4 linked regions of the Elephas maximus indicus genome follow. The protein of the gene in region 1 purifies or fractionates together with the protein of each later gene. This does not show direct contact. Links are inferred from orthologs where the notes say so. Each region holds a gene or a part of one and is shown on either strand. Other genes may lie near its edges. The genes, in order: PALS1, LIN7C, PATJ and AMOTL2.

Region 1 (7,806 bases):
TTACCCAAGAGAAATGAAAATTTATGTTCACACAAAAACCTGCTGATAAAGATTTACAACAGCTTTATTCATAATCACAAAAAACTAAAAATAGCTCAAATGTCCTTAAATTGGTGAATGGATGAACAAACTGTGGTACATCCATACAGTGGAATGCTATTAAAAAAAAAAAAAAACCCAAACCCATTGCCGTCAATTCTGACTCATAGCAATACTATATTCACCAGTAAAACAGAAAAAACTGCTGTTACACTCAACAATGTGGATGAATCTCAAATGTATAATGCTAAGTGAAAGAAACCAGATTTAAAAGGTTATATACTGTATGATTCCATTTACATGATATTCTAGAAAAGATACAACTACAGGGAAGACAACAGATCATTGGTTACCAGGGGCTAGCAGGGAAGAGGAAGGTTGACTACAAAAGGGCAGCACGAGAGAATTTTGGGTGGTGGGACTCTTCTGTGTCTTGATCGTGATGGTTGCACAGCTTTATACATTTGTCAAGATAACTGTACACCAGAAGGAGTTTATTTTATTTCATATAAATTAAGGACAATGTTAAAATCCTTTAAAAGGAGGGAAACAAAATACACTTCTCACCCACAAGTGGCAGATACTTTTAAAATCTAATAATGCCTAATGTGGGCAAGGATGAGAAAGCACTGAGACTCAAATTGTTGGCAGGTATGTAAACTGGTACAATTTTAGAAGGTACTTTGTATATAACTAGTAAAGCTGAAAATGCATATCAACCTATGACTCAGTATTTCTTCTTACAGGTAGGTATACATCTAGGGAAATCTTCGTACATGTGCTAAAGGTGACATGCACAAGAATATTCATTAAACATGGTTTGAAAAATTGAAAACAACTCTTCAGTAGGGGAATGAACAAACTGTAATTAGTGGTTATTAAAAAAAAGAAGAAAAATTTGAATAAGGGAAAGCAACCTCACCGATTTCATGTAATGATTTTGAGAAAGGTAACTTAGTGGTTTGTTCACTTATAGTAATAGAATATAGCGAAAAGAGCACTGGACTTGGAATCTGGAGACAAGTAGTTTAGCATTTACTTCCAACTATGCCACTAACTGGGCTGGGTATGCCACTAACTTAAGAGTCAGACTATGGGCTACTCAATTGCTACAAGCCTCACTTTTCCCTGACAAATAAGATAGGTAACAAAGTCACTAAGATTATTTCCAACTCAATGATCCTATGATTCAATAAGTGTACACTGTAATCAAAAATTATATTCCAGAGCACTTATCCATATTGAGGAACAATTTTTCCCAAAACCCCCCAAATCAGAAATCAGAGAAATAGGGCAACTTAGTATACCAATACATAAATGGACCAAATTTCTTGGAATATGTGTGATGAGGTTTTAAATAAAGACCATAATTCACGAAGAGCATATAAATAAACATTACTAGACCACATCAGCTAAACCGACTATACTGACTTGAGTCACCCTCAGGTGGACTGGTACATCTCTCCCTTTTTAATGTTCTGTAACAAGCTGAATTATGAATGCCTTTCCCTTTACTTGTCAACTTTAAGTTTGGCTAGCCGAAAGTCACTCAAGTACAGTGTTTAAGATTTATGCAATTTTTTTACAAAGATAAAATGAGGAATTGCTTTTCATACTTTTGCCTGTTTTATTTCTGAAGCTCTTACATTATTACTAATAGCTTCAGTCTAATACAATAGCCTTTTGAAATTTATGACATGCTATGTCCACAGGGATCTAGTTCATAATCCATGAAGTATGAATAACTTTTATTACCACCAACTTATATTTCAAAGACACCAATAACCAGTATTTCATTTGTGCCTACTGCAGAATTTAATAGGTAATTAACTTCTGGTATAATCCAAAGGCATAATTAGAATACAATTATTAATATCACTATGAGTCGGAGTCGACTGGACGGCAACTTTTTAATAATCATTAATATCAGAAATATTAACAGCTTGTCAGTCAACTTAAAATTTCAAAATTCTTATTCACAAGTTTTCCAAATGGAAATTCTTAACAATTCTAAACGAATATGGAGACAAAACACACACAACTACATACTCCTTCTAAAAACCTTCTGGTGATCAGATTTTAATTTTAGCGTAAACCGCCAAGAAAAATCTTTCGACCGAAACCTAAATTCCGTACTCATTACTGTACGTCGCATCAACTGAACAGGTGAGTTGTTATTAGGAAGTTACATAATTTGCTGCAAAAACCGAAACGCCTTTCATTGAAACGTAGCTTACAATCTCCAGCTTCAACGTTCACTTTGCAATCTCCAAGTATCAGAAACCATTAACCATTAGGCTCTTTAAAAAAAAGGGGTCACAAGGAAGCAAGAAGCTCTTTATTTGTTGAAAGAACGCAATGAGCAGCGGAATACCGGGAGCTGAGTCAGGCAGGGGAACGCATTCGGCCTTTTAAAGTGTTCCCCCCACCCCCACTCCCTGCCGACATCCCCTACCCGGCCAGAAGGGAGTCGCGAGCTCAGAGGCTGGAACGCAAAGGGCAGGCGATACCCGGCGCGTTCCTGCAAGCCGGGCCTGGCCGACAGGAGCCCCCGCCAAGGTGCGTCCCTTCGCCAGCCAGGACAGAAGGAACGGGTACTGCGCAGGCAGCGTTCCTCCGAGGGACAAAGGTTAGCCTCACGCCCTCGGCGGCCGCGGCTCCCGCTGCCTGGGGCAGTCCACAGAGCAGCCCCGGGTCCCTCCCCGGCGGAGCGCGCGGCGCGCGGGGGGCACAGGGTCCCGGCCGCCGCGGCTCCCGACCGCCCCTCCCCCGCCGCGCTCCCGGGAACCTGTTGATTAAGATCGCCACACCGAGCTGCGCCCCGTCTGCCTCTTACCTTCGCGCCACGGCCGCCGTAGATCCTCCCGCCCCAGCCGCTCCTAAGCACTGCAGAAGCGACGGCCCTCCGGCAGCCCTTGAAATATCGCATAAAGAATCCAGAAACTCCCGATTCCCCACCTCGCAATCCTTAGTCCCCGCCCCCGCCCCGCCGCCAGCCTCCTCCGTCGCCGCCGTCGCCACAGCCGCCAGCGGCTCCACCTCGAGACCGCGCGAGACCGGCCCCCGCGGCTTCCGCGAGACCGCGCACGCGCCCCCGGCACTCTGGCGAAGCGGACGCGCCTATCCCAGTGCCTCCCCAGTGCGCCCCGCCCACTGCTCCGCAGAGAGGCTGGCGCGGTTCGTCCAATCCTGAGACGGCGGGGAGAAAGTGCCTGCTCATTGGCCCTCTCTGCAGCTCCCGAGCGGCCGGTCGCGCGCACTCGCGCGCCTCTCAATATAAAATGCTAGCTGCTTCAGGCCCGCAGGCATCAGGCAGTTGCTTTGATTTAAGCCTGCAGTTTAGGCTGCATGGGGACGCAAGGGTACCTGAGCCAACCAAGCTCATGTTCTACAGCCCTTGGCGCTTCTTTCCTTCGATGATCGTCACCTACTGAAGAAAATCTGATTTCCCTCTGAGGTGACTGCTTGTTCTGTCAAGCACATGACATAATCTAACATTTGTTTCAGAAATAAGCCATGGCCTGATTAAAAATCTGGTGTGTGTAGTGTCCTACAGAAACATCCTCTACTACCGCAGAAGACTCCAAAAAGCTATCAGCTGGACACAGTTTTCTGAAAACCTGAAAGAAAGAATTCCTAGGACCAAAATCTTGCTTTTGGAATGGATTTAGAGTTACCTAGGCCAACGCCTGAATACTTCTGTTTTGGAAGAAGTACAGCCAGAATGCTTCTTAGAAGCAAGGATGGCAAGACTTTGTCTCATATACTTTGGACATGTTATCAGGAGGGACCAGTCCCTGGAGAAGGACATCATGCTTGGTAGAGTAGAGGGTCAGTGACAAAGAGGAAGACCGGCAACGAGATCAACTGACATAGTGGGTGCAACAATGGGCTCCAACAAAGCAGTGGTTGAGAGAATGATACAGGACCAGGCAGTGTTTTGTTCTGTTGTACTTGAGGTTGCTATGAGTCGGAACCAACTTGACAGCACCTAACAACAACAAGCCAACCCATGTGCAACACAAGGCTGGTCCACTCAGGACCTGTTTATGTTCCCTTCTGAATAGGGCAGAATTCTGGGAGTGAGTTCCATAGGGCAAGAAATTCAAAGCAGATTGAAATGCATTCTAACCATTTTATAGAAGCCTGATCAAAAGAAGGAAAGTACAAAACAGAAATTCAAATTTTCGTGGACTCCGGACTTCCTGGAGCCATGAATGTTGAATGAACCCCTGAAACTATTGCCTAATGTAATCTTTGAGCCTTGGATCAAAGATACACCCTGGGGCCTTCTTGGAACCAAACAATAGTTTAGCTTATCTAATGAAAGATATCTGCCTTGAGCATTGTGCTCTTTTAAGAACTACCTATGGAAACAAATTGACAACAGCAACCTGAAAGATTGGATGGGAAGCTTAGGGGGCAGTAAGTTTGTGTTAATGGAGGAGCAATTCTCCAGGGGAGTGGTTGCACAGGTCAAGGAGTGTGATCAGTGTCACCGGATGGTGCGCGTGGAGGCTGTTGAATTGGTGTATGTTTTGCTGTGTATATTCTCAACAACAAAATAATTTTTTTTTTAATGCATTCTAACTAGAAATAACAGCAAATTTACCTCAACACTTATAATAAATCCATTGTATGGTCTCTGCTTTGACAGTAAGCAAGAACTCTGTGTTCCAAGGCGCCGTGCCCCACTCTTGAACGGTTCTAATATTTACTAATTAACCTTTCTGTTAGGCTGAAATCTGCCTTTCTGTCACTTCTGCCTATTGATGCTAGTTTCTCCCAGAGGCATGCTTATTGTATTTAGCCACATCTTCCTCAAAGCACTTCTGTTATGTCAATTATCATGTCCTTCCTCTTTTCCTCTCATTTTCCCATCTTCAGTCGCAATATCCCCAGGTCTGTACTTGCAAGTTCTTTCACCTTCTTCTAACTCTCCTCTGGACATCTATGGGTGAACTGTGGTGCCCTCGACTAAGCAAATCACTTTTCCAGGTGGCCAAGATCTCTTTGGATCCCTACCCTTCCTAGAGTTTTTTTTTTTTTTTTTTTTATCATCCTCGTATCTGATCAGCATTCCATCCAAGTCTTTATCCCAGTCATTTATAAGTGTTTAATAAGACAGGGATGAGGATGGGACTCTGCAGGACGTCACTAGAGCTCTTAATCCTCCTGCCATCAAATGTTTATCGGTAGACTCTGAGTACAGACAATCAGCTGCAAACCTACCTGAGCTGTCTTCCTGCCATTTTCCTCCACGGAGATACCATGAGAATTTGTGAAATGTACAACCGAAATCCAGATAAGCAGTCTCCAGGATTCCCTAGAAACTGTTACTCATCCCCAAAAAGGAAAAATGGTTAGCATGGTATGACTTATTTCCTTTCTAAGTTCTTAAATGCATAAAATAAATAATAATTCAGGGAGCTTCCTCTAACTGAGCATTTCTCAACCTCGGCAGTATGGGCCTTTGGAGCTGGATAATTCTTTGTGGTGGGGGGCTGTCCTGTGCATGGTAGAATGTTGAGCAGCATTGCAGACCTCTCTCCATTAGAGGCCAGTAGGCCTGCTCCACTGCCAGTTGTGACAATAAAAAATGTCTCCAGACTTTGCCAAAGGTTCCCTGGTGGGGCAAAATCACTTCCAGTTAAGAACCACTGATATCTAGCTATTCAATGAATTGACCTCTAAAGAGAGTATTTCAAACCCATACCTTCTAATTACCTGGCCTCAGGCAGTACAGGTAGTCCCCGTCATAACAATGATATTCGAGTTACAAAGAATCTCACTTATTTTTTTTTAATGATTTGTTTAATATTTTATGTACACACGAATATATTAAAATATGTCTGTAAGTTTATATGTAATGTTTCCAACCCTCAAAGAGAAATAAAGATTGGATTTATAAAGATACTGACAATAAAAGGCAATAATAATGAAAAAATTTTTTAAATGAGGCATTCGACTTAGAACTAACATGACAGAGTCACTGGAACTGAAACCCATTTTAAGTCAGGGACTACCTGTATGCAAAACATCCCCGTTCAAATGAACCCTTCAGGTACCGAGCCCTTGCTCCCCTAGCTGCTCAGATCCCTCTGTCACAGAACCTCATCCTGGAAAAATTATGATTACTATCAGTTTGAGGTAGCAGCCACTGCTCTCAAAATATGTGGGAATTCCTTTGTGAAGTGTTATACGGATGTTTATTATTATTATTATCTCCTAAAAGTATTTTCATTTTAATAGAGGGCAGTAAACCCTATGGCAAATAAGGAATCTACTCTCTCATAAATTGAGACATTCTCAATTTCCAAATGACACAAATTACTGGTCTTGTTGAAGGGAAAAAAAAAAAGAAGGGTAACTAAAAGAGTAGAAAGTATAGAAACTGGAGGCAAGGTGATTGAATGTGAGCTTTAGCTTTGCTGAGAAGTAGTTCTGTAATTTGGATGCATGACAAGCTTCTTGGGCCTAAATTTTCTCATCTATAATGTAAGGAAGTTAACTACTAAGTAGTTTTTTCTAGATTCTGGTAGCCTTTGCATATGGTGTCTAACGTGAATACTATATCCATTGCTGTTAAGTTGATTCCAACTCATATTGACCCCATAGGACAGAGCGGAACTGCCCCCATGGGGTTTACAAAGCTGTAATCTTTATGGAAGGAGCCCTGGTGGTGCAGTGGTTAAGCACTGGGCTGCTAACCAAAAGATTGGCAGTTTGGACCCACCAGTTCCTCTGAGGAGGAAAGCATTCCATAAAGATTAAACCCTCGAAAACCCTATGGGGAAGTTCTACTCTGTCCTGTAGGGTCGCTATGAGTCGGAATCAACTCGACAGCAACTGACTTGGTTTTTTAATCTTTATGGAAGCAAACTGCCACATCTTCCTCCCATGGAGTGGCTGGTAGGTTCGAACCGTTGGGTAGCAGCCAAGTGTTTAACCATTGTGCCATCAGGGCTCCTCATAGATACTATAGGGGTTAAGAAAATATAATATTCATCTTAAAATAGAATGAAATGGGTAATCTGTGGTTTAAAACTGAGTCAGAACAGCTGTTCATCCTTGTCACGAGGCAGTTCACTCACTGAGTCATCCTGGCAAATTTGTAACCAAGTATTAAGGAGGAGGAGTGAAAGCCAAGCTGTAAAGTCAAGTGCACAAGGAGAGAAACCACTGTAAATACTTTTTGTCCTTCCTTATCTTGGCATTTCTTTAACCCATCATCTGCCAATATCCCCTATTACACGTTTATGTAATCAAATGTTGTGCTACTTTATTTCATTAAAGTTTTTAGAAAAACATACTAATATTACATCTGACCTATTTGCAACAGGTCTAAAATCTCACTTTCTAAGACTCTACCATTCACTATTATATATGAAATTTTTAACTAAAGTTATTATGTTCCTTATAGTCCTTTAACTAATGTTATTATAAGGTTTTATCACCTCTATGTACTAGTGAAGTCTAGGTTTTCATAACTAAATACTAGGTTAATTACTTATAATTTTCTGAACCAGATGATCACAGATAACCTAAATCAAAAGAGTAGATTCACTAATTCAAATATAAGAGAAGTTATGAAACAACAACAAATTAATAGTTACCTTTTTTAAAATTATTAAATAAATATCTAAAAGAAAAAAAACAAAAAGCAAACTGACAAACCAGGAACATTTCTAATTTAATTGGGTTTTATAATTATTATTATGTTTGTTCAGAACTTCTTGACCTTTCATAAATCTGGCAAAAAATACT
Region 2 (7,671 bases), on another chromosome or scaffold:
GTGGCAAAGTGGTTAAAGGGATCAACTGCAAACTGAAAGGGAGGTAGTTCAAACCTACCAGGTGCTCCATGGGAGAAAGATGTGGCAGTCTGCTTCCATAAAGATGACAGCTTGGGAACCCTATGGGTCAGTTCTACTCTGTCCTACAGGGTCACTATGAGTTGGAATCAACTCCACGGCAATGGTTTTCTTATGTCTCAGCTGCCAACACCGTAAAATGGAAATAATGCTATCTTCCTCATAAATTACTTGACAACAGAACCAAACAATATATGGAACAGGGCCTGGCATATCACAAGCATAAGTATTATACTGGCATCAATTAATCATAAGAAATAATAAGGAGTTATATATATTTATAAAAATATATTTAGCATGTTAGGCAATTCTCAATGGGAAGTGTGAGGATAAGTGTTCAAATACGTTTTCTGAATTATGAAATTTTATAAGTTTCAGAGTCATGTTATAATAGTGTTAATGATTATCTCTACTTTATTTATTTTTTCTTGTTTTTTTTACTCCAGGGGGCTATAATACCTATTATTCTACTATTACCGTATCTCTTTTTGACTTAAAAAAAGGAAGTTCTGAATGTCATATTATACTGAAGGACTAGAAAAATTTTTTTATGGAATTATACAGCCTTTATGTTTACAGATGGAAAACTAGGAATAAACGTAAAGAAGAAAGAAGTAGATTTTTCAATTTCAGGTAATAAAAACGTTGCTGTTGTTAGGTGCTGTCAAGTTGGCTCTGACTCTTGGCAATCTTATATATACAGAACAAAAGGTTGCCCAGTCCTGTGCCATCTTCACGATTGTTGGTAAATAAAAGCTGAAAACGACGTTAATCAATCGCAATGGAAACAAACAAATCTCCACTATGATTTCCCACCACCAGGATGGCTGATGAACAGGACTGATGGTTCATCAATTATTTTGGTTTATAAAGTTAAGATACATAAGCCATATAAAAATTTCCAATTAACAAAAAATTTGCAAAAGTAAAATATTCTTTACACTGTACCTAATACGTGATTAAATGCGTTCCAATGAATCACGTTTGGATGATTCAGAAGGCACTCAGGATCTTGATCAGGCATATCAATGTGACACTGTAAAATGCATTGAACTGTTTGACAATAAAGTCTGTTAAGAATTCTAAAGAATCAGAATTGATGTTAATCTGACTGTCTTATGCTGCTAAATGGTTACCACCAGTAATGCATACTATTAATTAGAAACTGAAGAAGGGGGACCTGGGGTGGGGGGAAGGCCATAACTACCAAAACTAAATAAATGTCAAATGTGAAGTTCCCTATTATTGTGTGCTGCATGCAGTTAAAAATACAAAAGACCGCCAACATGTCAGAATCCTACAACTAGCTTTCAAAGAAAAACACCTACTCCTGTTAACACCAAACAAATTTGTTCCCAGCTACAAAGCACAGTGCCACTGTACTCAGGAGGAAGACGTCACAGTCTTAGGCCTAAGTTAGCAAATCTTCCCAGAGTAGCTACTCCTCTGTCAAAAATAATGCTTTAATAGCCTGGTGGGCTGCAGAGAAACAATTTCACTTAAAAAGAGGCTTCCCAACTGAAAACCATAAGGAACAAACTAACAATGTTAAGCATGCATTTGTTTGTGTGACGGTATGATGAAAAAGGTTTCTGTAAGTACAATAATTCTGAAAATGTATTCCCTTCTTAGAGAAGTTACTTAGCATGCAGACTGTAACTGCAAGATGTTAATATCTGCAAGATAATTTCAATCTACATTGTCATTAACCTGGTGCTATCCAGCCAATTTAGACTCCTGGACCTACACCATGTGTAAGAGAGTAATACTGCTCCTAATGGGTTTTCCTGGCTGTAATCTTTACAGAAGCAGATCACCACGTCTTTACTCTGCATTGCCAGTGGGTGGGTTCCAGCCTACAGCCTTCAGGTTAGTCCAATGCAACCCGTGTGGGCCACCCAGGGACCTACTTTGTTTACTACTGGTACTCAAATTGTTCATTCTGTACTCCTTAAGTCTCATCGATGACTTCTGACACTGCTATGTCAAACGCGTACTTTGAAATTGTTTGAAATAAAGGATTTGGGGAGGAAAGAGTGGAATGCTGAAAATCTGTAGCAGGACACTGGTAGGAGCACAGTCAAGGATTTTCAACAAGCTTTCTCTAACTACTCAGCAGAACAGGTTTTATTCTTCTTGGCATCTTTCCTAAAAGGCAAGTAACCAACTGCAGCTAGCAACTGTAGGGTTTGTACAAAACGAACGAGATTGCAATCCCAATTACTTACCATCCACCACTATTCCGCCTAGGTAACCAAGTTACGCAACTCCCTTTCCAAGACTAAGTCAGTAAAACACCTACACCACCCCTGGGAGGGGCACTAAAGGCAGGAAATACCCCGCCCCAAATACAAGTGAAGTGGTGAAAGTAACGACAGAATTTTTCCGTGTAAATAAATGGGGTTCTGTGGGAATGTACTTTGCGTCTGAAAAGCGTGCGATATGTAAGTGAAGGCGAAGACACTGGGTTTATGCACGAATATATAGAGGCACTGCGTGAGGGCTACATAACGAAAGCTCTAAGTGGTGTGTGATGTTTCCTTCTCCGGTTTACGTGTCTCTGAATGCCACGTCTGCTATGTGCAACCAGACAGCGAGTGTGTGTTTGCGAACGCAGGAATCATGTTGTGTGTGACTGTGCTGTGCTTCGGGACAGTTCGTGAGAGCAAAGGCGGGGTCTGGGTATCAATCAAGAGACCGCAAGCGCCCTCCCCGGGGTCGGGCGCAGCGACTTCGGTGGTCGCCGGAGCCAGCGCAAGAGACGCCTAGTTCCGGGTGTCGGAGCCTGGGTCTCCCCTCCTCCCCTCCGGCGACCCGGCACACTGCCACCCCCTCCGCCCATCCCGATCCGGCCTTGGCAGCACTCACCCCTCTCCAGCCGCACAGGTTCCCCTAGCGCCGCCATCTTCTCCCTTTGCCTGCAGACCCACAGGAAATGACGACAGAGGGGCATCTGTGTTGGGCGGGGCTTCGCCCGGAGGACGAGGGCCGGCTAGTATCGCGAGAGCGGGAGGTGCGGGTGAGGGTGCCGGTCCGCTGTGCAGTGGGGTTACGCCTTGGCCTCTCTGTCAGGAGTCTGGAAATTCTGGAGTGCCTTGACCTCCCGAGATTTACCAAAGCTTCTTTCCAGACACTTAGTCCTTGCCTCGGGGTTCAAGCTTTATCCTACTCTATTGGAATTCTTGGCCCCGCGTAAAAGAGTCAGGAAGCCTGGACTTCTAGTCCTTGCGTGACAATTAGCGGCTTCGTGACCCTGTACAGTTCACCCTCGCATTCCCCGAATCCCTTCTGTGGAACTGGGGTATTATCCCCAAGCTCCGTTCCATTCTTAATCTCTGGGAGTACGTGGCCATTAGGCGTGTAAATGAGATGTTGAAAATAAACTGCCTACGCATAGCACTTTCTCCTTTTGTGGCAGTTCTTTAATTTTAAAAATTCAACGGTTGAATCTTCCCTACAAATCTGTTTGAGAGTAAGGGTGGAAATGTGCGTTTAGTAAAAACAGCGTGAAACAATCTGGGTGAGGCAGAGAGCAAGGCATTTCAGTACACCCTAAAGTAATAATTTTAAAAAGCTAATCCAAAATCTCATATAAATGAAATTTTATAAAGCGAATAATATTCTCGATGCGTTACGGATTCCTAGGACCACTGAGAAGTTCCTGAATCAAGAAAAAAATAGGTTTCTAATTTCAGTTTAGATTCCACTAACATTTACCCAAGCCCTAGGCTGTGTTGACCTTGAGTTAGATGCTTTCATGTACAAGTTTTAAACATTTCATGACAGGATTACTTTAACATCTCCTGGTTGCCCTGGGTCTAACCCTCTCCATTCAGCTATTGTATTTTCTTCTCCTAATCCATCATGAATGTCACCACTACTTTTCTTTTTTTTACTTTGAACAGTGGTTTCATCACCACAGGTGTCTGTTCAGAAACTTTCAATGTTTTTTTCCCTATTTCCTATTGCTGAAACCTAGCATATTCTGACCCTAACTCATCCAACTCACCTTTTTTCTCGTTACCCCCCCAAGAGCAGCCACCACTCCATTTGAGGTAGTATATTCAAAACCATGTTTATTCCTGCTTCCAGTTTTCACTCCTGTTGTTCTTGCCTGGATTTCCCTTCTTTATCTCACCTGATTCTCTGAACTGTGTCCACCCTTAAGTTGAACCCTTTCTTCAGCTCCGTGCCAAATAAATACCACTTCTACTAAGCCTTCCCTTTTTCCATACTGTTCTTCTTTGAAGGAGCCCTGGTGATGCAGTGGGTAAAGCCGTCGACTGCTGACAGAAGGGTTGGTTAGAAACCACCAGTGGCTCTGAGGGAGACGTATGTGGCAGTGTGCTTCTGTGTAAGGATTCACAGCCTTGAAAACCTTGTGGAGTTGCTCTGTGTTGGAATTGGCTCTACCACAATGGGTTTTTTTTTTCCCCCCTCCCTTCTTTGGTCTTTCATGGCCCTTAAAAACCCTGAGGTGGTATTCATGTGCTTATCTCTTATTCAGTGTTGTCATTTGTTCTATAACAAATGTATTCAGTAAGTGTTTATTAAATGTTTAATATCTACCAGGTGCCTTGCTAGGCACTAGGAAGACAAATGCAGACATTGCTCTTATACTGTCTGGGTCCATTTCCTAACAGTTGTATGAAATTTCAGCATTCCTGGGATAAACTCAATTTGTCATGATGTATTATCATTTTATATACTGCTGGGCTTGATTTCCTAAATTTTAAAGGAATTTTTACATCTACATTCATGAGGAATATCAATCTGATTCTTTCTTAGCATGTCTTTGTCCGGTTTTCGTATCAGGATAAGGGTAGACTCATAGAATGAGTTGGCAGGTATTTCTTCCTCTTCAGTTTCTTAGAGGTGGTTGTGTAGAATTAATATTATTTATGTCCTAAAGGGTTTGACAGAACTCACCAACATAGTCATCTGAGCCTAGATTTGCATATATATATATATATGTGTGTGCCCATGGGAAGGTTTTTAACCACAAATCCAATTTTTAAAATACATAGGGATATTTAAAGAGCATATTCTTGAATGAGCTTTGGTAGTAGGTATCTTTCAAGAAATGTGTCCATTTTATCTAAGCTTTATTGAATTTATTGACAAAGTTGTTAATAATATTCTTATTATTTTTATTTAGTCTTCCCTCTCTTTTTTCTAAACCATTCTAGATAGAGTATATCAATTTTATTGATTTTCTCTATGAGCCAGAACTGGTTTTCTCTATTTTTTTTTTTATTGTTGTTCTTATATTTATTGTTTCCTTCATTCTGCTTAGAGTTTAATTTGCTCTTCTTTTTTCTGACTTCTTAATGTGCAAGCTGAGTTCTTTGATTTGAGCTTTTCTCCTTTTCTAATACAGGGATTTAAAACTATAAATGTCCCTCTAAATTTTGCTTTATCTGCATCTCACAAATTTTCATTCTCCTCAAAATACATTCTGGTTTTCTTCTTCCACCCAAGAGTTATTTAGAAGTGTTCATAGTTCCCAAATATATGCGGGTATTTTAAAGATATCTTTTTGTTATTTCTGATTTTTTTCCATTGTGATTAGAGAAAATATTGTATACGATTTGAGTTATTTTAAATATATTGAGACTTGTTGCCTTGCCCAGAATTTGTTCTATTTTGGTAAAGGTTCTGTGTGTACTTAAAAGGAACTAAAGTCTGCTGTTGGGTAGAATGGTCTATAAACGTCAATTAGGTCAAGGCCGACGGTGCTGTTTAAATATTTTATATCCTTACTGTGTTCTATCTACTTTTTCTATCAAATATTGAGAGAGAAGTGTTGAAATCTCTGACTCAAATTGTGGATTTGCCTATTTCTTTTTGCAGTTTTGTTATTTCTTGCTTCATGCATGTTGAAGCTCTGATATTAGTGCATACATATTTATTTCCTCTTATTAAGTTGACTTCTTTATCATATGCTTTTATTTCTTTATCCATGGTAATATTGTTTGCTCTGAAATCTGCTATGAAATAGAGCCACTTGAGCTTTCGATTAGTATTACTGTTGTATGTCATTTTTCATTCTCTTACTTTTAATGTATTTTTGTGTTTATATATTGTGTTTTTATTTAAAGTATTTATATGTAAATTATATGCATATAATTGTGTCATGCTTTTTATCAAATCTCACCATCTCTGCCTTATAATTGGCAGAGATTTTAAATGCAAAATCACATTTATATTTAATGTGATTATTGATAAATTTCAGTTTAAAATCTAGCATCTCACTATTTGTTTTCTATTTGTCCTATCTGTTGTTTGCTCATCACCAACAGATGTGCACTGCAAGAAATGTTACAGGAAGTTCTTCAGGCAAAAGGAAAATAATTCCAAAAGGAAATGCTGATCTATAGAAAGGAACAAAACTATGAAATAGATTGTTTAAAACAAAAATTATAACAACTTATTGAGGTTTACCAAAGGAGAAGGGGAAGTAGAAATATACTGTTGTAAGATTCTTATACACGAAATGGTATATTACTTTGAATGTAGACTTGAATAAGTTAAAGCAACTATGAGAGAGAGATAATAAGCCAAAAAAGAGAAAATGGAATCTTAAAAAATAATCAATCCAAAAAAAGATAGAAAAGGTTGATATAATTATTTTTTTAAATACATGCTGTTGTTGTGTGTCACTGAGTTGATTCCGACTCATTGCAAGCCTATGGGGCAGAGTAGAACTCCCCATAGGGTTTCCTAGACTGACATCTTTATGGCCGCATATTGCCAGGTCTTTTCTCCCATGGAGCAGCTGGTGGGTTCTAACAGCTGACCTTTTGGTTAACAGCCAAGCACTTAATCATTGCACCACCAGGGCTCCTTAAAAATACATAATCTATGTTATATCTTATCATGGATAGAAAAAAACTTCATATCCTCTTTTTATAATGGCCCTAGTTCAAAAATAAAAACTAAGGTAGGGCAATTGTGGCTTTTAATCTGGGGTGCCAAAATTTAAAATGATTTTTTAAAATTCCGCAAATTTTAATTGCTTCTCTGACCCACTCTGGCAACAGTAGGGAGCTCTTCTTTGGGTCCCAGCCAGGAATCCAGAGAGAAAGCAGGAGCTAGAGACCCAAGGTCAGGGGCAAGGAGAAGCAGTGTGGCCACCAGCCAGGCCAGAGAGGACCCGTTTGTGAGCTTAGGATACCTCCTCCCCTGGTGAAGTATAGACGGTGTGGCACCATGCATGGTTAACTAAGGGCTCTCCTTTGTAGGGTCTGGGGGCAGAACATCTTCCCTCAGAATGGATAAGGGCATGGCAGGCAATGTATTTGGCCTGTCTAGTATATTACGTATACATTTGGGAAACAACATGTTTCAAATTTGATGAGTAGCAGTTTGATATTACGGGAAAAACACTGGATTAGGTGTCAGGAGCTTTGGTTTCTAATCATGGCTAAGCCACCAAGAGATAGTGTGACCTTGAGAATATCACTTTCACTATATGCTCCAGATCTGTATCCTCATCTGTTGACTAAGATCTGTCTGCATATGAAAATTGTCTATAACCAAACCCATTGTCGTCGAGTAGATTCTGACTCATAGCGACCCTGTAGGACACAG
Region 3 (7,348 bases), on another chromosome or scaffold:
CCCTATGGATCACAGCGGTCTGATCCGCAACTGGTCATGGGGATGGCACAGGACCAGGCAACGTTTCATTCCCTTGTACATGGGGTCGCCATGATTCAGGGGCCCACTTGACGGCAGCTCTTATCCAAGTAATTATCAGTGAGAACACTCACTAACTTGAGCTCCTCCTGATAAAAATAGCACAACTCCATAATTTTATCACAATTACACATCACAGTGAAGAAGAAAAAAGTGGGAGAATAATGGTTTACCGTTTACAAAACACATCTTAAACACTATTTCATTTAAACCTCCCAAAAACTCAGGAAAATGGAGAAACAGAGTCAAATGTTCCAAGTCTCAAAATTCTAGAGACTGCACAATTGTGCACACATTAAAAATAAGTGGAAGGTACATTTTCAGCATTAATCTATCCCACTGGCTAAAGAATTGGTATAACAGGCAGTAAATTTCCATATACACCAGAGTTAAAACAAGGGCTTTAAAAAAGGGCATCCAAATCTATGCAAAAGTCCTTACATAAGAAAAAACAGCAAAGGTCAAGCAATCTCAAACATTAGGGTAGAACAGTCTTTGGTTTAACAAAAAAACTTTACTACCAAAATAAGAAAAATTTTAACTGAATAAATTAGACCCCATTTTGACTTCCCCACCCTAATGCATTTTGTTAAACTTTAACAGAGCTATTGGAGTGTTAGCAAATAAATGCAGACTGTTAAGTTTAAAAATAATTATTAAATGCTTTTAAGTAAAAACACAATTGCAAGGATAACTAAATGATGAGCGCCACTGTCTCAGAATCGTAGGGTTCCAAACATGAACTCACTATGGGAAAATACACAAATTTTTCTTTTTAATTGTAAGAATACTAACTGAAAGAAAATACAGTACAATGTTATTAGTGGTTACCAAATGGAGGGTGGAAGGCACACATACTCTGTTAGCTCCGTTTTTTAAGGTTTCTCCAATTTTTTACAATGAATACATATTAGTTTTATACTTAGAAATACATGTTACAAAAACAGTAATAAGTATGTGATTTGAACTTATCTTTAAACATAAATGAGGGTTTAAAACAATTTCTATCCAACTTTAAAAGAGACTATTATTCTGATAAGGAGCCCTAGAGACACAATAATTAAGCACTTGGCTGTGAACCAAAAGGTCAGTGGTTTGAACTCACCAGTGGCTCCACAGAAAAGACCAGGCAATCTGCTAACAACAGCAATTATCATATAACGTGGGCTTGACATCAGAACAATTGCTGTATGTTGTCCAGATGATTCAGACTCATAGGGGCCCTACGTGACAGAGGAGAACTACCCCACAGGCTGAAATCTTCACGGGAGCAGATTGCCAGATCTTTTCTTCTGCAGAGCCACTGTGAGTCCAAACCACCAACTTTTTGGTTAGTGGCAAGTGCTTAATCACTGACCTGGTGGCAGGGCTCCTTGTATGACCATAAACAGGATCTAAACAAGTAAGGGCAAATCTCTTTACAGTCCAGTTTATAAATTATGTCACATTAAGCACCTCCTAACTTTCTAACAATGGACTCATACAGACCAGTGATGGTGAAGATGGCACAGGACTGGAAACATTTCCTTCTGTTATATATAAGGCGGTTGGGAGTCGGAGCCCGCTGAAAAGCAACTAACAACAGTTTTCTAACTTTCTAATTATTAAAAAATTTTTTAATATTTATAAAGGCCGTTCATGCTCCTTCTGGCGAAAAGTCATGACCTCACCTAACATTTTCTGGTGTCGCAACATGGACCAACATGAGTTTTCAGCCCCAAACCTCCCAAGCTTTCCTTCAAAAAAACATGTGTGCAAATGATTTGACATTGTCAAATTGACAGTCAAAAAGAGCTTAAACGGCATAGAATATGGTAGAATCACCATCCGTGGAACTGAGATTTCCTTTTCCTCTAGGTCTTCAGAAGGCTTCTTTATTCATTTAAGAAACACTTGTTGAGCACCTACCAATAGCCAGACCGTAAATGCAACTGAAAAACAACCTAGAGAAATAAGGTCCTGAAGGGATAACCTACTCAACGGCAGTGACAAACCAGTAAACAACCCATTCGAATTCAAAGTGATAAGAGCCATCTGGCGATAGGACACAATGCTAAACGAGCACTCCAGAGGGAGATTAATTCCGCCTGCTAGGCTTGCAGGAGGGGCGGGGCGCTCCGCAGTGTGGGATGGATCTGAAAATGCTTTCCTAGAGCTTGACTTAAAGCAAGAATCCAGGAACTTCCCCCAAAAGCTAGGGGCCAGAGCGTTTTCCTCCAAATCTTCCCCATCTACCAAGTGAGGCTACCAGAGCCCTGGCCGGCCTGACGCTGACCTGGAAACCTCGGCGACGTGACGACTGGGCGACCGTCGAGACCGGGCCAAGTCGCCCGTCAGGCGGGACAGGCCACTCTCTCCTTCTCCGGGCCCCCGAGGCAGGACACCACCTATTCACTCCTCCCACTATCACCAGTTGAGGGAAAAACTCTGCCCAGCTCTTGGGGCGAAGCGTAGGCACCTATCTGGGCGCAAAATCGGATCCGTGCCACTCCCGGAACAACAGCTGGCCGAGATTTGAAGACTGGCAGGGCCTACCGAGGCTTTGCAGCTCTGCGGCCGGAGGCCTCCGGCGAGCCCTGCAGGGAGCACTGGGGCCACTGTGGGATCACATGGCCCGACACTGAAGGGCAGACACCCCTGTCCGGCCGCCAGGCCCAGGGCTGACGCACGGCACAAGTGCCCCGCACCCCCCTGCCCCGGGCGAGCGCCCCGGCGGCGCTCTTCGCCTCCCTTCCCAGCTCCCTCGGATCGGGCGGAGGGCGCTGTCTGAACAGAGAAGGCAGGCTCCGGACGCAGGAGGGGGAGTCGGGAGCCCACACTTTACCTGGTCCTGCGGAGGCGCGGGTGGGAGCCCGAGGCGGACGGATCGGCGTTGGCCCTCCCTCACCTGGGCGGAAGTGAAAGGCCCAGGGTGACCGCGCCTCACCTGGCAGGCCCTCCCCTCGCACTGACCCTCCCCACCCGGGGCGGGGCGCCGGGGTGGCGGGGGTGGGGCGGGAGAGGGAGTTTGGGGCCGCAGGAGGCTGACCCGAGGAGGTATGGGCGTTTGGCATCTTTGCTTTCTGCAGGTCAAGTTCTGTTAGGAAAGGGAGCGTTAAAGAGACTTAGACCGAGACCCTAGAAAAGGCGGAATGTGGGGGCAGAGTGGGCAGATGAGACGACGAATGGGGGGCAGTTAGGTCAGACAGAAGTGCTACGGAATAGCTGGACTGATAGCAAGACCCAAGATGAAGGAAATTAAAGGAAGACATTGCTAAAATTACTTGGTCAAATCTGCTCAGTCCCCTGTTGTTCTTTTGCCCCTTTCTTTTCTCTTTCTCACATCCCTCCGTTGTGTTTTCCATACTCCCTGATGCAACATAAAATAGTCCAAGGAGAGTAAACAGAAGACAAAAGGCGTGGTTCGGTGATTCTTTTCTTCTCATCTAGTTGGAATCTATTGGAGTGCCTACGTATGCCAAAAGAAAAAAAAGCCAAACCAGTTGCCATCGAGTGGATTTCACTCATAGCGACCCTATAGGACAGAGTATAACCGCCTCACAGGGTTTACCAATGAGCGCCTGGTGGATTCGAACTGCCAACCTTTAGATTAAGGAATGTAGCTCTGAAACACTAGGCAACCAAGGTTTCCCAAGTGCTTACTTATACATTATCTCATTTAGTATGTGAAGAAATGTGCATCCAATAGCTTAATTGATTTGTCCAAGGTTTGGGACCCACACTAAGTCCAGTGTTGATTTCGCTATACATTTTAACATTTATATTCTTGATACTGTAGTTTGACTTTGAGAAAGATCTTTGTAAAACCCACAATGGCATTATTTCACTCTTGAATTCACTTTAGAATGTTGACAACAGACATTTGACTTTGTTTAAATACAGTTCACACATTAACAATAAAGACAACCAATCAAGTTACCTTTTTCATGAAATAAATGCAGTATTTATTAAGCACTGTGAAAACCTGGTGGTGTAGTGGTTAGGAGCTATGGCTACTAACCAAAAGGTTGGCAGTTTGAATCCACCAGGTGCTCCTTGGAAACCCTATGGAGCAGTTCTACTCTGTCCTGTAGGCTCACTATAAGTCAGAATGGACTCGATGGCCACAGATTTGGTTTTAGGTTTGGTGATAGACTCGGAGTCCTGGTGGCGCAGTGTTTAAGAGCTCAGCTGCTAACCAAAAGGTCAGCAATTGAATCCTTTTGTTGCTCCTTGGAAACTCTGTGGGACAGGTCTACTCTGTCGTATTGGGTTGATATGAGTCGGAATTGACTCTGGCAAGAGGTTTGGTTTGTGACAGATTCTGAGGGGACGTATAAAATGGGGTCGTTTCTCAAGGAAAAGGAGGCCCAATACAAAACAACCGTAACACAAGGACATTTGTAAGATCATGCACTTGTATTTTATAGTTATCGTTGTTTGCTTGTTTTAAAGGAAATACAACTCATTAGGCCTGCAAGAAGATCCACAATGTAAACATGGACCCAACTTTTTATGAACTAACAAACTATTAAAAGAAATAACCTTACACAAAACTTAAATTACCAAATAGAATTAAGCTAGAACCTTCAGAAAGAAAGATCTATTGTGTTTGTTGAAATGATCACTTAGGACTTAAACAGGTCTTAAAGAGTGTTTGCAGTTTGCTTAGGCAAAGTTGAGGAAATGTTTCCCAAGTTGGGGTGGGGTAGGGGAAGCAGCAAAACACCAACTTGAAAACAATGGATCTCTTCCTACTCTAACATTAATGAAAGTTATTAACATATTCCCCCTTACTAAGAAATCTTAAGTGACTTTGAAATGATCATGAAACAAATTCAAACTCCTTAGTATTTAAGTCCATCCTAACTCTTCTCTTTCTTTCTGACTCTTCAACCTTATCTCCCACTTCACCTCTCCAGGATCTTACTTTGACCAAAGAGGTCTGCTCGGCATCTGTGGAACGCACCACACCTAACTCACTCTGTTTCCCTGCCCTGGAATATCCTGTAGTCCCTATGTCCCTCCACAGCCAGGCTTAGTCTCACTTGTAAGAAACTACTTCCCTGACTATCCTAGCAAAAAGTCATCTCTATCACATTTAATTTAATTTTCTCTACATTTTTGTGTTCCTTAATTTAATGTGAGCTTTCCTTTAGCCCTTACATCAATTTTTTTTTAATTATTTAATTTATACATCTTTTAAGGAGCTTATTCTGTGCTGGGCAATATCTACCTCTGAGAATTCTGAAGAGTATCTTATCCAAAGAATGATGAAGATGTACTTAAGTTTTAAGAGCACACTCTCTGAAGTCAGAAGATCTGAGCTTGAATCCTGACTCCACCATTTCCTAAAATATGTGACATTGGCAAGTTACTTAACCCTTCAAATTCTCATCATTAGAATTGTGATAACAGTGCTCACTTCAGGTTAAATAAAGAAATACATGCATTGCATATACCTGGCATATAAAAAGCGCTAAATAAATGAAGCAGCACATAGATGGGAATAAGCATGGCAGACACTGGGACAGTGAGGAGTCAGCCAAGAAGAGTAGCAAATGATGGGGGACCAGGACAGATGATGGAGGACCTAAAAATACTACAGGGAACTTTAGATTACGGTATTAAAAGTTTATTCTTCATCCCTAAGAAAATAGGAAACCACTTTGCCAGGGGCAGGAGGGAGGGATTTGAAAGAAAGAATCATTGTTTAGGATACAGTGTGTTTCTGTTTATTAAAGCCCTGTTGGCGCAGTGGTAAAGCTCTTGGCTGCTAACCAAAAGGTAAGCAGTTTGAACCCACTAGCTGCTCTGCAGGAAAAAGATGTGGCAGTCCACTTTCATAAATACTTACACCCTTGAAAGCCCTGTAGGGCAGTTCTACTCTGTCCTATAGGGCCACTATAAGTCGGAATGGACTCAGGCTTCAGGAGTTTCTGTTTAGTGATAAAAAAAAATTGGTAACAGTTATTGGTATCCTAGAGTAAAACTCTCAGACTCTGTTAAAGTCTGTCTTACGCATCTAGTGCTGCTATAACAGAAATACCACAAGTGGACAGCTTTAACAAAGAGAAGTTTATTCTCCCACAGTCCAGTAGACTAGAAGTCTGAATTCAGGGCAGCAGCTCCAGGGGAAGGCTTTCTCTCTCTGTCGGTTCTGGAGGAAAGTCCTTGTCATTAGTCTTCCCTTGGTCTGGGAGCAACTCAGTACAGGAACCTCAGGTCCAAAGGACACACTCTGCTTGTGGCACTGCTTTCTTTGAGGTATGAGGGTCCATGTCTCTCTGCTCACTTCTCTCTTTTATATCTCAAAAGAGATTGACTTAAGAGACTATCTAATCTTGTAGATCTTTTCTGTATAACTGCCATTCTTTCATCTTATTACAACATAGTGATAGGACTTACAACACATAGGGAAATCACATCAGATGACAAAATGGTAGATAACTATGCAATACTGGGAATCATGACCTAGCTAAGTTGACAGATATTTTGGGAGGACACAATTCAATCCATGATGAAGCCAAACAAACAGATTTATTGAAAGCAGAAGGAGCATTTGAATGGGGAGACACTAGCCCATACAAAGTGAGAACCAACAAATCCAAGTGGGTGGCTGCCTCACAGGGATAGTTATAGGGCAGGATCAGGAACCTCCCAGCAAAATTCTGATTGGTTGACCCTCCCTGGGCTTGCCTGGACTTTCCTGGGCTTGCCCAGGCTGCATAGGCATAGCCACATTCTGGTAAAGATTGTTTTCTCTGACCCTTCCTGGGCTTGCCTGGACTTGTCTAAGCATAGCCTGGGCTGGACTGGACTTGTTTAAGCATAGCCACATTGTCTGTTCAGCAAACTGTTGAGATTAGTACAAGGGTCATAGCTTTAAAGCAGAAGCAGGAGTGCAAAACAAAATGCAGTCAGGCCCACTCCTAGGCCAGTCACCCTAGATATGCTAGGCACCTCTGTTCTGGAGCTCTTATCCATTCCCTCCTTTTGATCAAGAGTATTCAAGAAATCCTTTGATCAAATTATCAACCACCATTTGAGGGAGAGCGCTTTCTTCTGCATAGACTTAGATTTCTATTTCCTAATAGAACAGCATTATTAGAAGATGTTGGAAGAAAGAGAACTCTATTTTATTGCTGTCTTTCAGAGATACTTACAGATGGCTGCTTAGTATAGTGAGCCTTTAAGACCCCAGATGCTATTTATAAATACCCAGGCACAGTGTAAAATCTTCACCATGCCATAGCTGGAGCCTCTATTTCTACAGTGTTAACCTTGAAAT
Region 4 (7,944 bases), on another chromosome or scaffold:
TTCTCAATATGAGCTATGTAAGTGTGTATTAAAGGCAGCATTTCTCTAAAGACCATATGAGAATCCAAGAGAGGCCAAAATGAGAAGAAAGCTCAGTTAACACAACTGGAGCTATTAGTCCATCCTCAGAGGGCTCTGGGAGATCCCATTCCCTGGATGGAACCCTCTCCCAAACATCTTCCCTCCCACCAGGGATACAAAGCCCACCTTGGGAGCTCTGGGTGGAGCTGATCCCTCCAGCTGGAGATGAGGGTCACTAGTGGGTGCTTTTCTATCACACTGATCCTGCCCCAGCAGCCACAGAAATCTGTCCTGGGTGTTTTCTACAAGGAGCCCTGCAAACCCAGACTCCCATCTTCCTCCCCCTGCCCCCCACCCCCATCAGTATTCCTGCCATCTCTCACCAAGAGCCAGAGGGTCTTTCCAGGCAGCAACAGCATGTCCACCAGTCCAGGACCACTCAGTACAGGTAGCTTTGCAGAGAAGACAGGCGTCTGGGGTTAAGTTGATACTTCAAAATGATCTTCCCACTTTCACTGCCCCAAGGATGCCAGTCCCTAGGTCCCCACCCCCACCCCCACCCCCTTCTGATGGCTACCCAGCCAAGAATAAACTGAAGGCTGTACTCCTCCAAAGTATCCATTTATTCCCCCATGTCCATTAGACCCATCTTCTGTGTAGGACTGGGAACTGTGGGGGTTTTGGGCAATGGGTGACCCCAGAGATTGGAGTGGAAATGGGGCGATGGTCAGAGCTTCCTCCCCAGTGTCAGTCCTCACCACTTGCAGGAGTCATCCCAGCCCTGGGCCTACAGGAGCAGCAGAAGCAAAGGACCCCAGAGGAAGGCCAGGGGCCAAGGAGCAGGCGCATTTTGGAAAGTCAGGGTTCCTTCTTTTTCTAGGGCCCTGTTACCACAACTATGATGAGGCCCAATTTCACAAATGTTCCAACTCAGGAGGAATTAACCCCTGAAGACACAGACCGTGTGAGGCAGTCTGCCCCTGATGCAGAGTCCAGGCCTGATGCCTGGGAGTGGAAGGGGGTGGTGGTAGAAGGAAAAGGCTTGGAAAGAAACCTAAAGGCAGAGGGTTCAGAAAACGGGTGTGGGGGGTGGTGGACTAGGGCTTGCCGGAAGACAAAACAGGAGACCCCCAGTTCGTTTTCCTTCTGCTTTTGGAGGTAGTTGCACTGAAACTTCCAATAGCCAGGCTCTTCCTATGAATTTGTTCCCTGCCTCAGATTCGGGTGGGCTTCCTGTTTCCCATAACCTGCCAAAGGAAGCGTCCCGCAGAGGCTAGAGAGGGAATTTCACAATTGGCCGAGTCCTTCTTTGATGTTGCCACCTGGGCCTAAGCCCCTTCTCCACCAACTGACCATTTGGGAATTGGACCATTCTCTTCCTAGTTCCATGGGAGGGCCTGCTAGAGTCCAGCTAAGCACTGGCTTTCATATTCCCATTGGGTGCAGCCGGACGCAGCTGCAGGGCCAGACTGAGGCCATATCACAGGCCCAGGCCCAGGCCCAGGACGAGGCGGGACGCGGGTGTGGGCTCCTGCTTCCCTGGCTAGGCCCCGTACACACCTACAATCCAGCCACACCCCTGCAAGCTGTACTCAAGCCTGGCTCACTCTGAGAACTGGGTCACATCTGCATCTTTCCTGGGCGTGACTCCAGACCCAGTCAGCCACACTGTCATCTGGGAAGAATCTTTACCTGTTGCGGGGGGTGTTAGAAAGAGGGGGACAAGGTGTATCTGAGAGAGACAGTGCTTGGAGGGAAGTTCTGGCTCACCAGGTATTAGACACGGGGGCAGTGGCAAGCCTCTCTTCCTCTGCTATGAGCAAAGATTTCTATACTAGTGCCCACCTGTGCATGCCTGCCTCCAGCACATCTGAGCTGTGGTCACCTTCTCACCAAACGGCCCTGCAGAGCCAGGTGTGACTGCCAGCTCAGGAAAGCTTAATCCACTGGGGTCTCTGCCCTGCCTGGGGAGGCCCTGCTCTCCATCCCTCTTGCAGAGAGGAGGAGAAAGAAGAAGAAAAAAATTGAGTGTAAATTTCCCATGCAGGTTTCAGAAACCCTACTTCCCCTCTGGAAACCTTGGTGATGCAGTGGTTAAGTCCTTCAGCTGCTAACCAAATGAGCTGGAATTGACTTGATGGCAACTGGTTTGGTTTTTTTTTTGGTTTATTCCCTGTCTGTTGCTCTGGTCGCCAGGCCCTCCCCATGCCTCCTGGGCCCAGGGACACAGAGGTGAGCAGTTACAGGGGCCCGCTCATTGCCCGCAGTAGGCTTGGCCACTCTAAGACATACCTCCTTGACTCTAGCTGCCTTGAGCTGGCACCTTTCTGCAACCATCTCAAGAATGTTTGTGAGGTATTGTGTCAGGTGACTCTACAAATGCCCCTGAAACATTGTATCATGTGGCTTTTCCCCAAATTTTCCAACCTCAGGATTCACATGCTCACACACACTGACTCTCACATCTCCACCAAGTGTTTCCAAGAACACTGTCCACCCTCAGGGTAAGGCAGCCCGGGACCTCTTCTCTCTTCCTTTTCATTTTTGTATCTAGTTGGGACGGTGGCACATTGGCCAGAGCTTCTCTCTGTGAGGAAGTTCTCATGTGGTCCAATGTCCCTCAGCTTGACACGTATGGCTCGTGTTCTCATTCATCTCAAATCCAATCCCTATTCGAAATGCAATATTTGGTTTCCAACTAAACCACGTGCACTCACACACACACACACTTTTTGCGAGAGCTTTATTTTAAAAAAATCAATAATATCTCTAGCTAATAAATAACTTTCCAAGGTTGCAAAGTTTTCTTGTCTCCGGCCCCCTCCAGAGGCTCTGGGACTCGCAAACTCCATGCTCGGGGGAGGGAAGGTGGTGGGGAGAGCAGCCAAGGATGAAAGTCAGTGCTGACCATCCTGGTGGACAGAGGACAGTCCCCCAGGTGGATGTGTTGAGTTGCCCCAGGTGGGCAGGTCTGTGGGGACAGGAGGGGAAGGAGGAGGTGGGGAGGTGTGTCGGAAAAGGTTTGCAAAGAAGGTAAGGGATTACCATAGTCACAGATGGGTCAGCATATGGCAGGCTAGGAGGAGGAAGAGCCCTGGGGTAGACGAAGGGATTCCCCATGGAGGAACTCAGACATAGGGGGGCCCTGGTTGGCAGCGGTGAGGGATGAGGTGAAGAAGAGGCAAAACAGGGAGGAGGCAAGTGGAGAAAGGGAGTGCTCCCAGAGCCTGACCTGTCCATCTAGGGAGCCCTGACTCTGGGGGTCACGGAAGAGTTTTGAGAAGGAGAAACTGGGTAGGCCTGGTTACCTGGCTTCATCGTTTACTCTGTTACCGTGAGTAAGCTACTTAACCGTTCTGAGGCTTGGTTTCCACATTTATAACACTGGGATGATAACAGAACTCCCTCAGAGGGTGTCCGTGAGATCTGAACGGAGCTGCTGCGGGAAAAGCAGGTGGTGGCTCACTGCGGCGGGTGACTCAGTTAGTTACAAAAAACCCTGCGCGGTCGAGTCAATTCCGACTCAGCGACCCTATAGGACAGAGTAGAACTGCCCCATAGGGTTTCCAAGGAGTGGCTGCTAGATCCGAATTGCCAGCCTTTTGGTTAGCAGCCATGCACTTAGGCGCTACCAGGGCCCCAATTCAGTCGGTTCCAAAAAAACTCATTGTAGTCGCTTCAATTTCGACTCATAGCGACCCAATAGAACAGAGCAGGCCTGCCCCATAGGGTTTCCAAGGAGCAGCTGGTGGATTCCAACTGCCGACCTTTTGGGTTGCAATTCAGCTGATTGCCAAGAACAAACAAACAAACCCCAAACCCACTGCCTTGGAGTTGATTCTGACTCACAGCGACGGGGTAGAACTGCCCCACAGAGTTTTCAAGGAGCGACTGGTGGATTCGAACTGCCGACATTTTGGTTACCTGCCAAGCTCTTAACCACCAGGCCAGCAGAGCTCCACTCAGTTGGTTACCAAAACAAACAAACAAAATCCATTGTTTCCGACTTGATTCCGACTCATACTGACCCTACAGGACCAAGTAGAACGGCCCCATAGGGTTTCCAAGGAGCTGCTGGTGGATTCGAACTGCCGGTCTTTTGGTTACCAACCAAACACTTAACCACTGCACCACCAGGGCCCCATTCAGTTCGTTAAAATCAAAACCCATTGCCGTCGATTCCAACTCATAGCGACCCTATAGGACAGAGAAGTACAGCCTCATAGTTTTCAAGGAGCGCATGGTGGAGTTGAACTGCTGACCTTTTGGTTAGCAGCCATAGCACCTAACTACTATGCCACCAGGGTTTCCAATTCAGTTGGTTAGGTGGGTCAAATTAACCACAAGATTTTTCAACCCAGACTGACATTTCCTGTGGATCCAAAAAATACGGGTCCTAAAAGAGCTGTTGAAGGTGTCTGTAAACAATAAAAGTGCAATTCAAAGGTTGCCGCTGGGCGTGAAAGCAGTGGGGGTTAGGGACCAGGCTCAGTCGCAGAAAGCAAAGTCATTTCTTCGCCTGGGGTATGGTCCAGGCCAGGCCGATCTAGGCCTCCCTGCTGCTTCACACACACAAGCTGCGCTGTCGTCCCCTCCTGCAGCAATGCCGGGAGGCGGGAGTCCCTCCGTATTGTTCTGCCAAAGGGTTTAGGGGTGAAGGAATGAGAAGAAGGGGAGAACGGGGGCGGTACGGGGTCCAGAACTGGGAGAAAAATCGGCCCCAGCAGCTTCGACGGAAAAGGGCAGCCACGAGGCCCCTGGGCTGCCCAGGCGGGGAGCTCAGCTGCCGCCGGACGCCCAGCCCGCAGGACCGCCTCCCCGGAGGAAGGCGGGGGCCGAGAGGAGCGAACGGGAGGAGGCGAAGGGCGGAGGAGGGCGGCGGGCTGCGAGGTTATTTGTGGTTCTCTTTGATCCCGAGGGGGAACCTGAAACGCTCACATTCCTGGCATAGCAGCCGCCTCCGGCGCGGGCCGACCCTGGGGCTGCGCGTTGAGGCCAGAGCAGCCAGAGCGTCGGCGCCACTGCTGGGTGCACACCTCCGCCGCCGAGCTGAGTCGAGCAGAGCCAGGCCGGGCCGTCGGTTCCGACTGCGCGGGGCACCCACGGGCCTCAAGGGTAAGGAAGGCCGCTTGGCGCTCCGGGGAGCGCGCAAGGCCAGCAAAGACGCGACCCAGCCGAAGGCCGAGCCTTGGCGCAACCCGGCGTTTTCCGGGAGCCGGAGCCCCGCCGGTTGAGCGTCCTCAAGGCGCAGTGCGCACTTTCGAGGCGGCGGCAAAGCCGGGAAAGGGCCTTTCCGCCCAGGTGACAACGCGCCTTGCGCCCGGGTATCTCGAATTGCGCCGGTCCCCTGCGCTTGGGGAGGGTGCAGCCTCTAGGGAGATCAGGGTCGGTGTTTTGGGTCTCCGTTCGGGCATCGTGGCGCGGAACAGGGCTGGAGTCGCCGCTTCGAGTTCAGGTTGCAGGGCCTTGGGGGTTGGTTTGGTTAGGTAGGGGGGTTACAGGTGTCTTTGCCCCCAGCTAGCCCAAGAATTCGTCTTTGTCTTCCTTGGAAAATCCTCTCTGGAGCCACTAACCGGCTCTCACGTAGAAAGAATGCAGCCTGCAGTCCAGCCCGGTGACGTCAGCGCTAGAGTATTCGGAAAACAAAGAGGGCTTGGAAGGGGGAGAGGCGAACCCCGGACGCTTAAAGACCTCTTCAGGCCTTGAGCTGCGCTCGCCCGCTTCCTCCTGGCGCACCGGTGGCCACCGAGTGCTTATGGTCAGTTGGGAATAGGGGTAGGGCGAGCGTGAGCCCAGGCTAAGGCCAGAGATGCGTTCCTGCTTAGAAAAGGGGTGGCTGGGTGGGTGAGTTTAGAGAGCAGGGAGCGCTAGCGCAGCAGAGGCTGGGGTTGGGGGCGCAGATTTTAGTAAGGGCTCAGCCCTTTGGTATGGGAAAGGATGTGCAGCCGGCGGCCTGACAGGCGTAAACTCAAGGATGAGAAGCCCCAGGAGTGTGCTCTGCTCTCTAGCATAGTGTTGGGGGCCTGGAATCCGTCGGGAGGAGGATTCTGCCGCCCCCCCACCCCCACCCCCCGCCTTCCTCAGCCGGAGACAGCCCAGACAGTGATTAACTTAGGAAATGCCCTAAAGATGATGAAACTCCAGGGCAAATTGGCCTGTTTGCTCTTTTCGTCGCTGAAAACCCCGGGGTCTTGCATCTCTACTCGGGGGGCGGGGGGGGACACGGAATGGGTACCAGAAAGGTTGAGGACGGGGTGCCCTCCTGCCTCACCCCCCCGCCCGGGGCTGGTGGAGTCCTGGGGAGGAGAGAGTGGACTGGGAATGGCTGTTCTGTCCACATGCCAAGACCAAACTGAGGAAGGGCCCTGGGGCTAGCTTTGTGCCAGAGGAGGGCTGCATTCCTCCTGCTCCCCGCCCCCCCAAGACCTGTGGAGGTGTGGGTTTTGTTTGGTTTTGCCTGAATTCTGGTTTGAAGGTTTGTGTTAGAGGAGGCTGTGGAAAGGAGGCCGGGCAGGTGGGCAGCCTTCCAGGGCATGAGCCAGTGAGATGCCCAGTCTTAGAAGGGAACAACACCTTCTTTGGATACTCGTCTCCCTGCACTTTGGGCTCACAACCCCCGGGGTCCCTGCAACCCAAGGCCTCCCAATTTCCCCCTTCGCTCCTCCAGTTGGCTCAAGTAGGTGTTACTGATGTTACAAAAGATGCTGAGTGCCCATCTCCTGTATGCCTAGAGGGCCCGCAGGGGCTTTTCCAAATAGCAAGGTTGGGGGAAAGCGGGGAGAGGTGATCATAGGGCTGAAGGCATCATGCCCCTCCTTTCATTTTCCTGGAGTACCCATGCAGTTACTGTCGGCACACAGAGACTATGTGGCTAACCCACTCACCTTGATGGGTAGGATCTTTTTGCCTCAACTCACACATTGTCCTACTGCACCCTCCCGTCTTTCATCCCTTATCCACCACTTTAGATGCATTTTCTTCTTCCTGTGTACTAGCAGAGTGACTGCCAAGGTCATCCCATGACAGGGAGCCCTGAGTTCATTCTGTCAACAGCCCTTGATTAAACAGAGCCCAGGGTCTGCCCTCCAGGGAGCTCGCTGGTTCAGGGGAAAGCAAGGGAGGTGGGTAGTAGGCTCAGGGGGTAAAGGGTAGTGGGTTGGCTGTGCCGAAGCCAGGGCTCAGGCATGCTTCCTTTGGGGTAGATCTGGCTAGATCTGAGCTGGTCCCCATGGGCCTGCCCTTGAATCACTCATCTGCAGGGGCTGTGATTGCTGATTGATGACCTTCTGGGCTGCTGTTGTCTTCCTCTAGTTGTAGTAAGTCTTTGTGAATATTATTATGGTTGGACCAGGCTGTAATGGAAAGTCCTCCCCTTGCCCACGTGCTCCCACTCATTGTTCTCTCTCTCCTCTCAGGTGCTCTGGGCCCAGGTGCTGCTGGCCATTCTCCAGGCAGGTGTGTGCAAGCCAAGGAAGAATGAGGACGCTAGAAGACTCCTCGGGGACAGTCCTGCACCGCCTCATCCAGGAGCAGCTGCGCTATGGCAACCTGACCGAGACACGCACACTGCTGGCCATCCAGCAGCAGGCCCTGCGGGGTGGGGCTGGAGGCACAGGGAGCCCCCAAGCCTCCCTGGAGATCCTGGCACCTGAGGACAGTCAGGTGCTGCAGCAGGCCACGCGGCAAGAGCCCCAGGGCCAGGAGCACCAGGGTAGCGAGGCCCATCTGGCAGAGAATACCCTGTACCGGCTGTGCCCACAGCCCAGCAAGGGCGAGGAGCTGCCCACCTATGAGGAAGCCAAAGCCCACTCACAGTACTATGCGGCCCAACAGATGGGACCCCGGCCACACATTGGGGACCGGGAGCCACGCAGGGCCACAGGAGGCGGTCAGCAGCAGGACGAGGCCCTTCGGGAGCTGAGG

What was found.
Region 2: the proteins of PALS1 (region 1) and LIN7C purify together in Homo sapiens (affinity purification with mass spectrometry; 3 studies listed by BioGRID and IntAct, counting the BioPlex papers as one, with this or other methods). This does not show direct contact. The link is inferred for Elephas maximus indicus from reciprocal best matches to the Homo sapiens genes PALS1 and LIN7C.
Region 3: the proteins of PALS1 (region 1) and PATJ purify together in Homo sapiens (co-immunoprecipitation; 5 studies listed by BioGRID and IntAct, counting the BioPlex papers as one, with this or other methods). This does not show direct contact. The link is inferred for Elephas maximus indicus from reciprocal best matches to the Homo sapiens genes PALS1 and PATJ.
Region 4: the proteins of PALS1 (region 1) and AMOTL2 purify together in Homo sapiens (affinity purification with mass spectrometry; 3 studies listed by BioGRID and IntAct, counting the BioPlex papers as one, with this or other methods). This does not show direct contact. The link is inferred for Elephas maximus indicus from reciprocal best matches to the Homo sapiens genes PALS1 and AMOTL2.

Annotation. Positions count from the first base shown.
Region 1 is NC_064828.1:79,588,949-79,596,754, reverse strand, and holds the start of PALS1 (protein PALS1), read right to left. Parts: upstream 3,004-7,806; 5' UTR 2,876-3,003; intron 1-2,875. UniProt on the Homo sapiens protein: Plays a role in tight junction biogenesis and in the establishment of cell polarity in epithelial cells.
Region 2 is NC_064825.1:82,361,732-82,369,402, forward strand, and holds the start of LIN7C (protein lin-7 homolog C), read right to left. Parts: upstream 3,011-7,671; 5' UTR 2,984-3,010; coding exon 2,947-2,983; intron 1-2,946. UniProt on the Homo sapiens protein: Plays a role in establishing and maintaining the asymmetric distribution of channels and receptors at the plasma membrane of polarized cells.
Region 3 is NC_064821.1:106,972,168-106,979,515, reverse strand, and holds the start of PATJ (inaD-like protein), read right to left. Parts: upstream 3,018-7,348; 5' UTR 2,903-3,017; intron 2,882-2,902; exon of another isoform or gene 2,354-2,881; intron 1-2,353.
Region 4 is NC_064844.1:45,186,581-45,194,524, forward strand, and holds the start of AMOTL2 (angiomotin-like protein 2), read left to right. Parts: upstream 1-4,941; 5' UTR 4,942-5,136; intron 5,137-5,162; exon of another isoform or gene 5,163-5,779; intron 5,780-7,436; 5' UTR 7,437-7,497; coding exon 7,498-7,944. UniProt on the Homo sapiens protein: Regulates the translocation of phosphorylated SRC to peripheral cell-matrix adhesion sites. Required for proper architecture of actin filaments.